Oryctolagus cuniculus: one gene and its partners. The protein of the gene in region 2 binds, or shares a complex with, the protein of the main gene of each other region. Links are inferred from orthologs where the notes say so. Each region holds a gene or a part of one and is shown on either strand. Other genes may lie near its edges.

What was found.
Region 1: APOO (region 2) and MICOS13 share a complex: the UniProt entries of both Homo sapiens proteins name them as parts of the mitochondrial contact site and cristae organizing system (MICOS) complex. The link is inferred for Oryctolagus cuniculus from reciprocal best matches to the Homo sapiens genes APOO and MICOS13.
Region 3: APOO (region 2) and CHCHD3 share a complex: the UniProt entries of both Homo sapiens proteins name them as parts of the mitochondrial contact site and cristae organizing system (MICOS) complex. The link is inferred for Oryctolagus cuniculus from reciprocal best matches to the Homo sapiens genes APOO and CHCHD3.
Region 4: APOO (region 2) and IMMT share a complex: the UniProt entries of both Homo sapiens proteins name them as parts of the mitochondrial contact site and cristae organizing system (MICOS) complex. The link is inferred for Oryctolagus cuniculus from reciprocal best matches to the Homo sapiens genes APOO and IMMT.

Annotation. Positions count from the first base shown.
Region 1 is NC_091447.1:60,302,252-60,306,243, reverse strand, and holds MICOS13 (MICOS complex subunit MIC13), read left to right. Parts: upstream 1-1,386; 5' UTR 1,387-1,837; coding exon 1,838-1,866; intron 1,867-2,805; coding exon 2,806-2,983; intron 2,984-3,090; coding exon 3,091-3,142; intron 3,143-3,295; coding exon 3,296-3,396; 3' UTR 3,397-3,432; downstream 3,433-3,992. UniProt on the Homo sapiens protein: Component of the MICOS complex, a large protein complex of the mitochondrial inner membrane that plays crucial roles in the maintenance of crista junctions, inner membrane architecture, and formation of contact sites to the outer membrane.
Region 2 is NC_091453.1:10,138,563-10,142,729, reverse strand, and holds the start of APOO (MICOS complex subunit MIC26), read left to right. Parts: upstream 1-1,344; 5' UTR 1,345-1,596; coding exon 1,597-1,605; intron 1,606-1,668; exon of another isoform or gene 1,669-2,003; intron 2,004-4,167. UniProt on the Homo sapiens protein: Component of the MICOS complex, a large protein complex of the mitochondrial inner membrane that plays crucial roles in the maintenance of crista junctions, inner membrane architecture, and formation of contact sites to the outer membrane.
Region 3 is NC_091434.1:168,944,168-168,948,288, forward strand, and holds the start of CHCHD3 (MICOS complex subunit MIC19), read right to left. Parts: upstream 2,814-4,121; 5' UTR 2,643-2,813; coding exon 2,562-2,642; intron 1-2,561. UniProt on the Homo sapiens protein: Component of the MICOS complex, a large protein complex of the mitochondrial inner membrane that plays crucial roles in the maintenance of crista junctions, inner membrane architecture, and formation of contact sites to the outer membrane.
Region 4 is NC_091433.1:116,590,275-116,593,834, forward strand, and holds part of IMMT (MICOS complex subunit MIC60), read left to right. Parts: intron 1-2,668; coding exon 2,669-2,772; intron 2,773-3,560. UniProt on the Homo sapiens protein: Component of the MICOS complex, a large protein complex of the mitochondrial inner membrane that plays crucial roles in the maintenance of crista junctions, inner membrane architecture, and formation of contact sites to the outer membrane.

The DNA of each region.
Region 1 (3,992 bases), on a different chromosome or scaffold from region 2:
CCACACCTGCCGCTGCCCGGCAAGATCACCTGGTCTTCCCCCCAACCCCGCGAGAAATCCTGACTTCATCCGGGGCAGGTGCAGCCCGGCCTCCGCCCCCTGGTCTGCTCTCCATTCCAGCCCCCTGCTAACACACACCCTCGGAGCCACCCACCCGCCTGGGAGCCCCCGGAGTGGGCTCCTTCTGCCTGGCCCAGCCTTTATGGTGGGGCCGTCTGGGGAGTGAGCCAGGGGCTGAGAGCAACCTCTTCCCAGCTCCGCACCCCGCCCTGTCCTTCAAGCTTTCAAATGCATTGTATAAATAAATTAAATAACACACACACCCCTTGTGAAAAAAGAAAGGGAGAAACAGCCCAGGTTCATAGGGGAGTCTGTCCTGCGCAGGCACCGGCCCATCACGCCTGGGTGGGTCGGGGTCTGTCTAAAGAAGCCACGGGCAGACAGGAGCTCAAAGATGCCCAAGGCAGAGGCGGCCCAGGGGGCGCAGGGCAGATGGGGGGGATCCCTCAAGTCTCCAATCTCCAGATCCAGGCCCGAGTCCTGAGACCCCGCTCAGCGGCTGACCCCAACCCGCCTCTCCCAGGCCCCAGCGTGCCCCAAGTACACGGTGCGGGGGCCCAGGTGCTGGCCTCGCCTCCTCCCACGCTGTCGCCCACCACGCACGGCCTCCGGGTCTCAGCAACGCCCCTACAGGAACCCCCGACCCTCTTCTCCCGCGCAGACTCCGGACCCCGCCTCCTGCTGGACCTGGGGCGGGGGCGCCAATGGCCTGGCCCCGCCCACCTGTCGCTGCACCTGTCCGCTCTCAGTGGCAGCTTCCGGTCAGGCCGACCCCTTCCCAGGCCCAGGTCAGCGCACGAAGCCCCTCGGCAGGGGCCTCTTCCCAGCCCCCGCCCCGCCCGCAGCAGCCAGGCAGAGTGGACGATGTGAGATGGACAGAGATGGGCGGACCGACAGTGGCCAGCGGGGATGAGGGAGGAGTGGGGGGCCGGAGCTTTCCCCCTGGACAATGGGGACCCACCGCGCGCCCCCAGCTGCGCACTCACCCACTCGGGCCTGTTTGCCCCAGTGTCCGGCGAGGCTGGGGTCCTGGCCTGGGAGTCACGCCAACGCCCTGAGGGTCTCCCTTCCCAGCCCAGTGCGGCCGGGCCCCCGACCGCGCCCCCTCCCGTAGGGCCCGAGTCACGTGACGCCAAACCCACCTCCTCGGGGGGAGGGGCCGGGCCGCCAGGACTCCGCGCCCCCCGTTGCCTGGCAACGGCCTCCGCCCGCCCAACTCCCGGCCACCCGCGCCGTGGCCCCGCCCCCGGGGCGGAAGTTCCGAACGGCGCGCGATCACGTGACCGAGGGCCCGCCTCTCGCCCACAATCCCGCCCTGGCGTTGCCGGGACAACCACCTTCTCGGCGCGGGCTCCCTAGGTCGAAGGCTTTTGTCTCCCGCGCGGGCGCGGCTGACTTCGCCTCTGACCCCTTCTTGGTCACCCTTAGGCTTCACTCCAGACCCCCTACGTCTCTTTCCACGCACGGACGCCGGGGTAGGACCAAACTACATTTCCCAGGAGGCTTCGCGGCCCAGCGAGTTCACGGGGCGGTACTGACTACACTTCCCAGACGGCCTTGCGGCTCCCGGGTCGCCCACACAGCTTACATTTCCCAGAAGCCTCTCTGCCCGTAGGACCCTCGCTAGTCCTTCTCCCGAGTCTCAGAGGCTTTAGCGGGACTTCGACTCCCGGAGGCCTTTGCGGCTGACAGGAAAGACTACAGGTCCCGGCGTCCTCTGCGCACCGCGAGCGGAAGCGGCGGGCAGTGTGGTGTCCTTGCGCGGAGCCGAGCGACCATGGTGGCCCGAGTGTGGTCGCTGATGAGGTTCGTGGGGCGGCCGGGCGGGGTCCCGAACCCCCGAGAGAGTCCCCGTCAGGACCCCCACCCCGCCTGTCCGGTTGGCTCGCGGTGGTCTGCTCCCCGCTCAGATAGGAGCGCAGACTGGTCGGAAGCCACCGGGGGTCGCGGTCGCCCCTTCCCGCCGCCTGTGTGCCGTGAGGCCGGGGCGGGGAGTCCCGCATTGGGGTCCCCCGGGAGGCCAGGGTGCCCACTGCCCCTGCCCTGTACCGTGGGGCCGGCGCGGGGAGTCCCGCATTGGCGTCCCCCGGGAGACCAGGGTGCCCGCTGCCCCTGCCCTGTGCCGTGGGGCCGGCGCGGGGAGTCCCGCATTGGCGTCCCCCGGGAGGCCAGGGTGCCCACTGCCCCTGCCCTGTGCCGTGGGTTCGGGGGCAGGGAGTCCCGCATTGGCGTCCCCCGGGAGACCAGGGTGCCCGCTGCCCCTGCCCTGTGCCGTGGGGCCGGCGCGGGGAGTCCCGCATTGGCGCCCTCCGGGAGGCCAGGGTGCGCGCTGCCCCTGCCCTGTGCCGTGGGGCCGGCGCGGGGAGTCCCGCATTGGCGTCCCCCGGGAGACCAGGGTGCCCGCTGCCCCTGCCCTGTGCCGTGGGGCCGGCGCGGGGAGTCCCGCATTGGCGCCCCCCGGGAGGCCAGGGTGCGCGCTGCCCCTGCCCTGTGCCGTGGGGTCGGGGTCGGGGAGTCCCGCATTGGCGTCCCGGGAGGCCAGGGTGTGCACTGCCCCTGCCCTGTGCCGTCGGCCGGCGCGGGGAGCCCCGCATTGGCGCCCCCCGGGAGGCCAGGGTGCGCGCTGCCCCTGCCCTGTGCCGTGGGGCCGGCGCGGGGAGTCCCGCATTGGCGTCCCCCGGGAGGCCAGGGTGCGCGCTGCCCCTGCCCTGTGCCCTCCCTGAGCGCCCACCTCCCGCGCCGCAGGTTCCTCCTGAAGGGCAGCGTGGCCGGGGGCGCCGTCTACCTGGTGTATGACCAGGACCTGCTGGGGCCCAGCGACAGGGGCGAGGCGGCGCTGCGCAAGGCCGAGGAGGTGGTGCCGCCGGCCGTGTACCAGCTCAGCCAGTACGTGTGCCAGCAGACGGGCCTGCAGGTGCCCCAGGTACTCGGCCGCGCGCCCTCTCCGGCTCAGGCCGTGCGCGGGGCTGGGGCGCCCTCCCCCCCACCCCGACCCCGCTCACCGGCCCGTGCCCCTCCCCCTCCCCGCAGCTCCCGGCTCCTCCCAAGATCAGCTTCCCCATCCGAGAGACCTGGGATAAAGGTAGGTGCGCGCCCCGCCCCTGGGGACCACCCCTCTTCCTGCGCTGTGTGTCTCCCGTGGATCTCGAGGCGAGGGGGGGAGGGGCGGCTGGGCCGTGCCTCAGTTTCCCCGCTGGTCTCCAAAGCCCGGTGCCCGGCCCCGCCTCCCCCGCAGGCATCCTCACGGTGATGGCGGCTCTGTCTGCGGCCCCGGCCAAGGCCCGCGAGTACTCCAGGGAAGGCTGGGCGTACGTGCGGGAGCGCACCAAGCAGTGAGCGGCCCGGCCGGCCCAATAAAGGCCTCTGCACTTGCCCCTGACCCGCTGCTGGCCCGGGCGCCGCGGGGGGGGGGGGGGGGGGCTGGGAGCCCGCCTGGGGCCGGCCCTGCGCCGGTGGGTGGGGCCAGGGTGGGCTCGGCTCTCGGAGGCGGGGGGCGTGCCAAGGCCCTCCTGCCCTACCAGGGCGGGCAGTGTCCCTTCTGGCGGCCCTGGGGGTCCGCAGCACCCCTCGCCACGCAGCTCTGTGACCATGGAGGTCTCTCGTGGGGTGTGGCAGCTGGCGGCTGCGGGGGGAGGGGCTGCACCCGAGGCCATCAGCCCCTCCATGGGGACAGGGGAGGGGTGGGCCCAGAGGCCCGCACTAGGCGCTAGGCAGGGCGGCCGAGTGGCCACGTGGCCGGGACCGCTGGCGGCCGTGAGCTCGGGGGGCTGAGCCGGCGCTGGGGGGCACCGCGGCTGCCCCTGGGGGGTCGTGGTCACTGCACCTGCCTGCGGGCCTGGCGCAGCCCCCGGCGATTTACCCCGAGTGACCCCTCACCGCAGGATGTGGTGGGTGAGCCCCGGGGAATCCTGGGACACACCCCCGGGGGCCAG
Region 2 (4,167 bases):
CCCCCTAAACCTCCTTCCCACCCGCAAACCATCCCAGCTCCTACTCCCTCTCCCATCCCCTTCTTCATTAAGATTCATTTTTAATTATCTTTATATACAGATCAACTTAGTATATACTAGGTAAAGATTTCAACAGATTGCACCCACACAGACATACAAAGTGTAAAGTACTGTTTGAGTAGTAGTTTTACTGTTAATTCTCATAGTACAACACATTAAGGACAGAGCTCCTACATGGGGAGTAAGTGCACAGTGACTCCTGTTGTTGATTCAACAATTGACTCTCTTGTTTATGGCATCAGTAATCACCTGAGGGTTTTGTCACTGGCCTTATTTATGTGATCCCTTTGACACTTAATCCTATATGATCAATTATGAATTTAAACTGATCACTTTAACTAGTAAGATGGCATTGGTACACGTCACCTTGATGGGATTTGGAGTCCCATGGCACGTTTCTAGCTCTACCATTAGGGATAAGTCCGAGTGAGCATGTGCTGAACTGTACATCTCCTCCCTCTCTTATTCCCACTCTTATATTTAACAGGGATCACTTTTCAGTTAATTTTACACGCCTAAAGCAATTGTGTGTTAATTAAAGAGTCCAACCAATGGTATTAAATAGAAAAAGAAAATACTGCAAATAAAATAGTAATGCTTAAGTATTTTAAAGAGAGAAAAAAGCATCCTTGGCGACTAAACTTAAAGCCTGATAAATGTCTAGCTCCTGGTAAAGACCTAAAAAACAGGCAGCATTGTGACTGCCACGTGGGTGCTGGTTCCAGTCCTGAGGGCTCCATTTCCAATCTGGATCCCAGCTGGTGGCCTGGAAAAGCAGAAGATGGCCCAAGTGTTCGGGCCCCTGCACCTGCGTGGGAGACTCAGCTGAAGCCCCTGGCTCTGGCCTGGGCCATTTCTGGCCTTTGCGGCCATCTGGGTAGAGAACCAGCTGATGGAAGACCTCTCTCTCTCTCTCTCTCTCTCTCTCTCTCTCTCTCTCTCTATCTCTGTAACTCTTTCAAAATAAATAAGTAGATCTTAAAAAACAAAACAAACCCTAAAAACCTTTGAGAGGTAAATCCAGGGCTCCTATCGGCGGCTTCTGGCTGCGAGACTCTGGAAGAAGCTTGAGGCCCGCTGAGCGCCCCCAGCCGGAGGCCTCTGAGGACGGGACTCCCAGCCCACACCTCCGGGCGCCCAATCCTGGAGGCGAAGGCTGACTCCCAGCGCCCAGCGGCGCCCGGCGCCTCCCTCCTCGCGCCTCCCTCCCGGCGCTTCCTCGTGCCGCCCACACTGAGCCGGGGCTTTCTTGCCGCCTAGCAACCACCGGCGCAGGGGCGGAGCGTCACGGAGGGCGGGGCTTGCGTCCGCCCGCCGTCCGGGGCGCTACGCGCTGCCGCTCAGTGACGTCGCTTCCAGTCCAGGGTGGTTGAGCTAAACTTTCGCCTCATCGAGTTGACTATACGTTCGTCACCCGCGCCGCGGCACGCCTGCGGTTGGGTGAAACAAGGCCCTATCGGGCCTCCGTAGTCGGCTTTTTGTGGTAGGCGGGGCCGAGGCCGGGGTGACCCTGCCGGAACCGCCGCTGCCAGCAACATGTTCAAGGTGAGAGCATGGAGTCGGGTCACAGTTGTCATCGCCCCCTCCCGGCCACCGGGAGCCCTCCCCGCGCTCTCGTGGGCCTTTCCGGGGACCGGGCACGGTCCGCCCCAAGGCTTTTCCCGCCTGCAGGCAGGCTGCGTTCCGGCCCCGCGGTCCATTCACTGGTCATCTTGGGGCGAGTGGCTGCCGGGCGGAGGCGTGAGACTCGGGGGCGGGTCGCGACGGCCCTTTTGGGTCGTGCTTCCGTGAATAAAACACTTTGAAAAGTTACGACACTCTCCGCAAAGCACCCACCCCTTCGGCTGGTGCCTTCTCGGGATCGTGGGCAGGGTGAGGCTAGTTCCTGGCGACGTGGGGTTTGCTACTCTGGTTGCCGGGCAGCATCAGATTTCAAGAACCTGGTATGTGGGTGGGGGAGGGTCGCCCTCGGAGTGGCCGCTGCAGGAAGCGGGAGGCTAGTGTGGGAATGGCTGGCTGGGGAGGGAAGCTCCACATCCCAGTGACCATTATCCGTGTTTAAATGGACGTGTTGACTTTCTTAGGATCTATGTGCTTGTGGCCTTTAATAAAAGGACTTTTACAGACAATGAAGACTTTATTTCCAAAAATCCGTATTGTAGCATTAAGCCATTTTTTAAAAATTATTTTTGCAGTCACAAAAAACAAGTCATAGGCTATCAGAAATTAATCTACGAAACTGAGCGTTCAAGAGGCATCATACCCGTAAAGTAGTGCTAATGACATCTTAGAACTGTGCTGCTCGCTTAAGCTTTATTGAGCTCTTGTATGCTTTCAGCACATTAATAAAGACCATAAAATCAGAACATCGGTTCTGCCTGCTAGCCTTGGCCTTGGCCCGTCCTGCTGTGTGACCTTGGACAAGGCATTTAACCTCTCTGCCTGTTTTCCTGTTGGTGACAATCGGGATGATAGCATCTGCCTCATAGGTAGTCGTAGGAGGAAGTAGTTGTGCGTAAGACGCTTGAGAGAGGTCTTGGCATGTAGACATGCCTCTGGTTTGTTTTCGGCGAGCTCACGGTTTAGTCAGCAGGACGAATCCCATAAGCAACTTCCATTCATTTGACAAGTTGAGGTTAAACACCTATTATGTGCTAGCAGCTCAGCTTGGCTTTAGGCTTACGATGAAGCCTATGCTGTGACCAGTTCAGCTGCATGGGTACCAGCTATATACTGTGGTCGTAAAAAAGGGGAGCAGGATCTTTTTGGCTTAGCCAGGAGTTTCTAACCTGGGGTCCTCAGTCCTTCAAAGGGTCTGTATATAGGGGGGCCCCTGGATTCTGATGGGGGAAAAACTTATTTTCACCCCATCTTCAATGAAACCAAGTGTTTCCTTCAGTTGTGAATACCTATTACCTATTACTGGGTAACAAACCACTGCAAAGCAGTACCCTAAAACAATGATTTATTATTTCTCAGTCTGGGCTGGTTGAGCAGTTCTGGCATCTTCCAGGGGCTGAATTGAGCAGGGGGCTTGACTGGAAGGTACTCTCTCTCCCGTGTTTGGAGGCTTGGTGTCCCTCCCTTGTGTCTTCCTCATATGGTTACGGGCCAGTCCTAATGTACAAACACCTGCATCATTTGCTGATGTTAAAACAAGCTGCATAGCCAAGTTCAGAGTTGATACGGTAGTGGACTGTACAAGGGCATGGTTAAAAGCAGGTGTGGCTCATTGGGGGCTTATTAATTTAACAAGCCTTACAGCAGCAAACCACAATAGTATTAGTGCCTGTTACTAACAGAGGTCACAGTACTCAGGCCCGCATTTTGGCGCAGTGGGTTAAGTTGCTACCTGTGACACCAGCAAGTGCTGGCTCGAGTCCAAGCTGCTCCACTTCTGAACCAGCTCTCTGCTAATGTGTTGTGGCCTGGCTCAGCTCAGGCTGTTGAAGCCATATGGGGAGTGAACCAGCAGATAAGACAGTCTGTCTCTGTTTCTCTTAAACTCTGCCTTTGAAGTAAATATTTTTTAAAAAGTCACAATACCAGTGCAAGTCAGAGACATTTTTATATCATATTACTGTTGTTGCAGATCTCAAAATATCATTTATGCTCATCACTACAAAATTAGAGTGCTTGTAAGATTCACTGTTAACATCTTTTTAATGAGTTAGTGAAGTACATATTACTACATCAAAAAAATTTTTTTAGAGATATATTTACTTCGTTGAAAGAGTTACAGAGAGAAGGAGAGAGAGAGAGAGAGAGAGAGAGAGATCGATCTTCCATCTGCTAGTTCACTCCCTAAGTGGCTGCAGTGGCCAGTGTGGAGCCTGGCCGAAGCCAGGAGCTTTATCTCGGTCTCCCGTGTGGGTGCACAGGCCCAAGCATTTGGGGCATCTGCAGCTTTCCAAGGTCATTAGCAGGGAGCTGGATCAGAAGTGGAGCAGCCGGTACACAAACCAGTGCCCAAAGGGGATGCCGGTGTTGCATGTGGTGGGTTTAGCTGCTGTGCCACAATGCTGGCCTTGTACACCAGAAATTCGAATTTTGAAAATATGTTTATTTGTAAAGGGGAGGCAGAGAATGAATGTGAGAATATCTTTC
Region 3 (4,121 bases), on a different chromosome or scaffold from region 2:
TGCGTACATGTCTTACCTAAGTTTGCATGAGTTAATGTAGCCATTCCCTCAACGGTTCTCCTGACAGCCACAAGGCACTGTCAGATGCTCACATACATGACGTCAAATCCTCAGACAAGTGCCAAAATCTAGATTTACAATCAAAAGTGCCTTGTCCAGAGCCACCCAGCTTCTGAGAGGCGGAGCTAGGATCCAAGCTCAAGTCTGCTTTCCTTCACGGTATTCTCTTTCCACTATAATACAGAATCCCTGTGAAATGATGGCTGCCTTTTTGTATTTTTTGTTTTGTTTTGTTTTTTGGACAGGCAGATTTAGACAGTGTGAGAGGGAGAGACAGAGAGAAAGGTCTTCCTTTCCGTTGGTTCGCCGCCCCAAATGGCTGCTATGGCCTGCCCATCCGAAGCCAGGAGCCAGGTGCTTCTCCTGGTCTCCCATGGGGTGCAGGACCCAAGCACTTGGGCCATCCTCCACTGCACTCCTGGGCCACAGCAGAGAGCTGGACTGGAAGAGGGGCAACCAGGACAGAATCTGGCGCCCCGAACGGGACTAGAACCCAGGGTGCTGGGGCCACAGGCAGGGGATTAGCCCAGTGAGCTTCAGTGCTGGCCGATGGCAGCCTTTAATAAAACCTACAGAGGGCCAGAAGCAAAGAACGTACCTCATCTTTCCAGCACAAGACAGAAGCAACCGTGTTCCCCTTTATGGACAGCAAATATGATCAGACACGTGCCTTGTCCAAGGTCACGGGCTAATAAATAGCTGACCCAAGATTTAAACTGAGGGCTGTTTAACTGTACGTTGGCACCCTTCTGACAATAACTTCAAAGCAATCAGAGTGACCTCTCAGTACTCAATGATTCCACCGCGTGTCATTTCCAGAGGAAACTGCACGGCGCTGAGGAAGGCCACAGGACACAGACAGTGGCACGAGGGTCACAGAATTTCAGACGACCAGAGATCTGAGATCCTGCCCCATCCTCTTACAGATAAGGAAACCGAAGTGCAGAGACCGCCAACCCGCCCTGCAGCAGAAGCACTTGACGCCACAGCAAACAGTGTAAGGGCATCTAGGTGAAGGGCGTGCTATGAAAAAAACACAGAGAGGTTGCAAGGAGCATGGCGTGAGCTCGAATTGAAGGAGCAAACATAAGACGTAATATCGGAGAAGGAAAAAGAAAAAACTGAAGAATGCACTCGTCAAGTTTTCTATCCAAGAAAGATACTTCTTCAAGTTCTGAAACGCAGATTTTTAGAGCACCTTTCCATTTCAGGAGAACACACATCCCCACTGCCACCTTCCTCCATCTTCATACTCGCTAGGCATCTCTGAGCTGTGGCCAGACTCGCCGCCAGTTCTGTCTGCTGTCCCCCTGTGTCTGTGTTAGAGTGACACACATTTTCCTAACTAAAATCTTCTCACCTAAAACTTATCTTGTGCTGCCTTTCCTCTTTCACCCTCAGAGGTGGAACACCCACAGCCTAAAGGCAAGATTTTTTTTTTAAATCTCTGCATAAAACTCAGAGTTTCCAGTCCTTTTTATTGTACTCCAAGGAGGAGCAACTAAACCACCAAGAACACAAGAATGCAGCCTCAGATGCTATATCGCAAAATGCAGCACTGTTGTTAATGAATCAAGAAACCTTGGTCACAGACCAAAAAGAGTTCAACACTGTGCGTATTTAGTAAGTTTTATTTCCCGGTAACACAACAGTAAATACATTCATTGAGACTGGTTGTGTGACAGGACAGCAGGGGAGGGAAAATACAAAGTATCTTAAGACACCCTGAAGTCCACATGGCTTTATTTCCCGGATGCAGGCTGGTCCTTGCAGCGGAGAGCGTGTTAAGTGAAGTGAGTGCTGGTGTGCTGACTCCCTGGAGCAAAGTCAAGTTTGAGTTCAGGCGCCAAGTACGTGGAGAGGGCGTAAGAGAACTCGCTATCACCTCTCAGAGCTCTGAAACCTCGCAGGCCTATCCCAGCCCGGGCCCGGCCGGCAGGCACCAGTCCCGGGAGCCACAGGTCACAGAGGCAGCGCCCGGGAAAGCGCAGAGACCGAGAGAACGGGAAGCGGCGGGGGCGGCGGAGGCGCGAGCCAGGGCAAGGGGTGGCCCCGGTGGGAGCGCGCTCAAGGAAGGACTGGAAGCCGAGGCAGGCGAGCCGGCGGCGGCAGCGCACCCGGGGAGGGAGCCTGTGCCCGCGGGAAAGCGGGCTGCGGGCCCCGAGCCAAGGGGAGTGACACCGGACCCGCTGCACAGACGGGGCCAGGGCGGCGAGGGGCAGCGAGGAAGCCCCCGAGACCGCCGAGCAGGGCAAGGCCAGCGGAGGGTCTCGGGGCACCCGGCGCGCCGCGGCCGCCCCGCACTGCACCCCTCACCCGGCCCAGGGCCTCTGCACGAACGCCCGGAGAAGTCAAACTCCCGCATCCTCCCCAAGGCCGGCTTCGGGCCGGTGAGGTGCAGGGAAGGCCTGGCTGGGGGTCCGAGCAGCGGGCAGCAGAGCGGGTCCAGGAAACGCAGGGCAGGGGTCCGAGCCGTGGGCCGCCCGCCCGCCGGAACTCACCCGGATGCCCTTCACCACGGTGATGTTCTCATTCTCGTCCGCCTCGAAGGTGACCCGGCGGGTGCTGGCGGTCCCGCCCATGGCTCCTGACCCCGCTCCTGCACGGATCCAGCACGGACCACGAGCGCTTCACAACTCCGCGCACACGCGCGCCAACGTGCCGGGACCCTTCCCGGGCTGCACGGGAGCAAGGCCACGACCCCAAGGAGCAAGGAGAAGGCGCCGGTCTGAGTTCCCGCCTCCTCCGGTCACGTGCCGAAACAGCTACACCTCCGATTGGTCAGAGCCGCGAAGGGCCCGCCTCCACTCGGCGGAGGGTGCTGGAATTGGCTGGCCTGGACCCGGATGCTATGGCAACAGGTGCTGTTTGACAAGTTTCCGGAGCTCCCGGGTGAAGTGGGAATTGTAGTCCCTATCGGGCACGAGGGGTGGTGGGACTCTCTTGCCTCGTCCCGGAGGACGCAAGGCATGCTGGGAGTTGTAGTCTTTCCCTCCAGAAGGGGTTGCTCTCTGGGCAGCTTGGAAGAAGTGCAATCATCGCTCAAGCATGCTTTGAAGACGTTATCCTGAAAACTCAGCAGAGTGAGGTCAAAGACGCAAGCTCGTTCTTAACGGATCTCAGGTTCATGGGGGAGATGCACAGCTTCCTGTAAATACAAATCCCTGAAGTAGAAGTTAGCAGCTCATTATTTTAGTCTGAGTCATTAAAAAAAATGCATTTTCCTGTATCCCCATTTCATAAACTATGTAGATGTTTGATTTCTTCTTGTAAAGTGAAAACTTAAATGCTGTCGTTATAAAATCTACAAATGAGAAAACACGAAAAGTACATTATACTCCGTATACGGAATTCGGTTTCCAAGTTTGTGTCTCCTTCCACTTCTGTTATATACCTTGGACCATAACACAGTTACGAAGAGAAGAATAGTATAAGTTAGTGGGACTATGGAAACCACAGCAGGCAAAGTTGAGAGAATCCATCTTGGAAAGTTTCTGGTTCACTAGAGTATTTCATTTCTACAAGACCAGTAAACAATTTTCAAGTTCCACCTACATCCTTACAATTTTTTTGCTTAACACTTTGCTCCACATTAGCCATACGACCCTAGTTCTTTTTTTAAGATTTATTTATTTATTTATTTGAAAGGCAAGAATTACAAAGAGGTAGAGGGAGAGAGCGAGAGTGAGAACGAGAGAGAGAGAGAGAGAGAAATGTCTTCCATGTGCTAGTTCACTCCCCAGATGGCTGCAATGGCCAGGGCTCAGCCAGACCAAAGCCAGGAGCCAGGAGCTTCTTCCAGGTCTCCCATGTGGGTGCAGGGGCCCAAGGACTTGGGTCACCTTCTGCTGCTTTCCCAGGCCCATCAGCAGGGAGCTGTTTGGAAGTGGACCAGCCAGGACTCAAACTAGCACCTGGTGTGGCACAGTGCTGGCCCCATGACCCTTGTCCTTACAAAAGTAATGAAAATATGCACTACCTTCAGGTGGCCGCTTTCAACATTATCAACAGCAGGCCATGACACCTTGTGTGTCAGACATCAACAATAATAATTTATCACT
Region 4 (3,560 bases), on a different chromosome or scaffold from region 2:
TGTAAATGAATTCTATATATAAATGCTTTATCTCACCACGCTGATGTATTTTACAAGAATTCAGATTTGTCTTTGTACCTTAATAATGTTTGAATGTAATTGTTGCTTCCTTATTTTTTGCCCTAAAATCTAAAGCCATTTCTTTACATAGAAAACTTTGTATTTTGAGATACTTCTAGATTGACATAAGAAGTAATAGAGAAGCTATGTACTCCAAAACACTAGCTATTTGAGTGCTTATGCTTATTAACTTACATTGAGTGCTTCAAAGAATAAAATAATATTCACTTCTAAGCATAATACTGGGGATCAATACATTTCTTTACATTAAATTCAGTAGTTCAGGATATGTATCTCTATACAAAGTAATTTAAAGAGTAAAACAGGGGCCCGTGTTGTGGCAAACAGGTTACGCTGCCACCAGTAATGCTGGCATTGCATTTGGCCTACAGGTACTGGTTTGAGTCCTGGCTGCTCCACTTCTTCTTCTTCTTCTTCTTCTTTTTTTTTTTTTTTTTTTTTTTTTTAATAAGATTTATTTATTTATTTGAAGACAGAGTTACAGAGAGGCAGAGAGAGAGAGAGGTCTTCCATCTGCTGGCTCACTACCTAGATGGCCGCAATGGCTGGAACTGTGCTGATACAAAACCAGGAGCCAGAAGCTTCCTTCGGGTCTCCCATGCAGTTGCAGGGCCCCAAGCACTTGGGCCATCTTCCACTGCTTTCCCAGACCATAGCAGAGAGCTGGATCAGAAGTGGAACAGGGGGGTCTCGAACATATGGGATGCTGGCACTGCCAGCGACAACTTCAGCTACTATGCCATAGCGCTGGCCCCTGCTCTACTTCTGATCCAGCTCCCAACTGATGCACCTGGGGAACAGTGGAAGCAGACCCAAGTGCTTGGGCCCCTACACCCACATGGAAGACCTGGAAGAAGCTCTGGACTCCTGGCATTGGCCTGGTACAGTGGCACACTACTATAGAATTCAACCTAAAGACATTCTTTACATCCCATATCACTTTGTATTCTGGAAGAAACCAGCGTTCTTCATCTCCTCAAAACTTTTCATGGAATCAGCATTTCTGTAGAAATCTGCATGTGCCTTCTTTCCTGGTTCCACCACAGCAGACTTGCACAGAGCTGCAGTGCTCGAGGAGATGTGCAGCAACTCCTGTGGTCGTCCTGTTGGGGTGATTTCAAACTCGGGTATTGAAACAATTCAGTTATTTTTTTCTAAGTCAATTATTCTTTGGTGATTTAGTATATACCTGTTCATCTCCAGGGTCCATAAGGTAATTTTGCTTCATACCCACATGTAATATATCCAGTTTATATGCACTTGGAAAAAGAAAAAGGAGACGAAAGATAATTTTCAATAGTTCATTTAAAATAATTTTAAATAGTTTAGACAATTCCCAATATTCTGATCAATGTTTATATGGTGCAAAATGAGGAGAGGACAAGGTGTTGTGACTTGTCTGCCATCTCATCCTGGAGTAGCCAGGACTTAAACCGGTGCCCATATGGGATGCTGGCACTGCAGTTGACAGCTTTACCTGCTACGCCACAGTGCCAGCCCCAAGTAAGTGCTCTTTTTAAACATGTATGCTTTGTACTTGTCCTTAAACTGAAGTTTTGGTAGCCAGACCTGCAATTCAGAAAATTTTAGGCAGCAACACTACATCAGAGAATGACTTAATCAACAGGTGATTCACTTAAAGCTATTATTTTTTTAAAGATTTATTTATTTAGTTGAACAGCAGAGATATAGAAAGGCAGAGAGAGAGAGAGGTGTCTTCCATCCCCTGGTTCACTCCCCAGATAGCTGCAGCAGCCAGAGCTGTGTGGATCCAAAGCCAGGATCCAGGAGCTTCTTCTGGATCTCCTACGTAGGTGCAAGGGCCCAAGTCTTCTACTGCTTTCCCAGGCCATAGCAGAGAGCTGGATTGAAGTTGGACAAGCGGAGATTCGAACCGGTGCCCATTTGGGATGCTGGCATGCTGTAGGGGGTGGCTTTACCCACTACGCCATAGTGCCAGCCCCCTCTATTATTATAAACCTTGTCTGGTTGATATTTTCTTTTGAGAATCTAATAAAACTCCTTGGAAAATAGTTGACTGGAACACTAATTTTTTTATTTGAGAGGCAGAGTTAGAGAGAAGGAGACATAGAGAAAGAGAGAGATCTTTCATCTGCTGGTGCACCCCTCCAAATGGTCAACTGGCCCAGGCTGAAACCGGGAGTGTCCTCTTAGTCTTCCACGTGGGTGGCGGGGACCCCAGGACTCCAGCCATCTTCCTCTGCTTTCCCAGGCACATTAGCGGGAAGCTGATTGGAAGTGGAGCGGCCAGGAACCAAACCAGTGCCCATATTGAATATGGCGTCGCAGACAGCAACTTAACCCACTACACCAGAGCCCCTTCCTCCTAACCTCCCTCCCCCTTTTTTTTCTTATTTAGGATTTTGTGGAAGGACAGTTGATGGGAAGTGATTCATGAACATCTTTGTGCCTGTGACTGCTAGATTGAGTTCCTATTCTGGAGAGATACTATCTAAGTTTTCTCTTTTGAATTTAATGTCTTGTATTTTGTGCTTAATCTTGTTGGCCTATCTGATGACAGTATTAGCAGTTGTTCACGTTTACTTAATTCGCATTTTGTGTTTAGATTGCAGGTGAGAAGAAGTCTGCCCAGTGGCGTACAGTGGAGGGAGCATTGAAGGAACGCAGAAAGGCAGTAGATGAAGCTGCTGATGCCCTTCTCAAAGCCAAGTAATTACTCATGGACTTTAACAAGTAATTAGGGCCTCTGGTGGCTCTCTGGGCTGGGTTTTCCTTGGATTATCTGGGGAAGATACTGTAAGAGGAGGCAGAGACCCTTTCCTCCTGCACCTGTGCTGCTTCTGAACTGGTACCAGGAAACAGGAAAACAATGAGGTGAAAATAAATTTGACAGAAACTTACATAAATGATCTTATATAAACGTCAGTTTTGCTTTGGATTATTGTTGAGGTGGTGAGATTCCTGAGAGTTTCATAATTTCTGTTTTGCTGGGCTGGTTTAAACAGTTCTGTCAGAATTTGGAAAATATGTCATGATCTCTTTGCCCTAATTACCTAAGAATTGACTATATATTGTCTTTTGCCACTTTAACCTTGATTCCTAGAAGTTAACTGAAACTAGGATCAAGTGAAAAACCCAAGTATAAGACCAACCTCTGATGATGGAGGGCTGCATTTGGACTAAAGGTTCTCATCAACAGTGTGTAGTAGTTATTTTTTATTTAAAATTTTGCTGTTTTATTTATTTTTGATAGAGCCTTCTAATGAAGCACACGCCTTTTAGATTATGCCCACATCACTAGACAGTGTATCAGGGCTCTGAGTTCTGTGTTTTGTGGTGGCTGGGCCACAGTCTGACCTTTGAAGCATTCTAAATTGTCATTCTAAATTGACGTATTTGCTCAGTGAGGTAGGTCTCTGGCCATCTCCCTGGCCTTTGCGTTCCTTCAGTTCTTTGTGATTGACAGGGACATCAGCCTAATCCCTGCCAGTCATTAA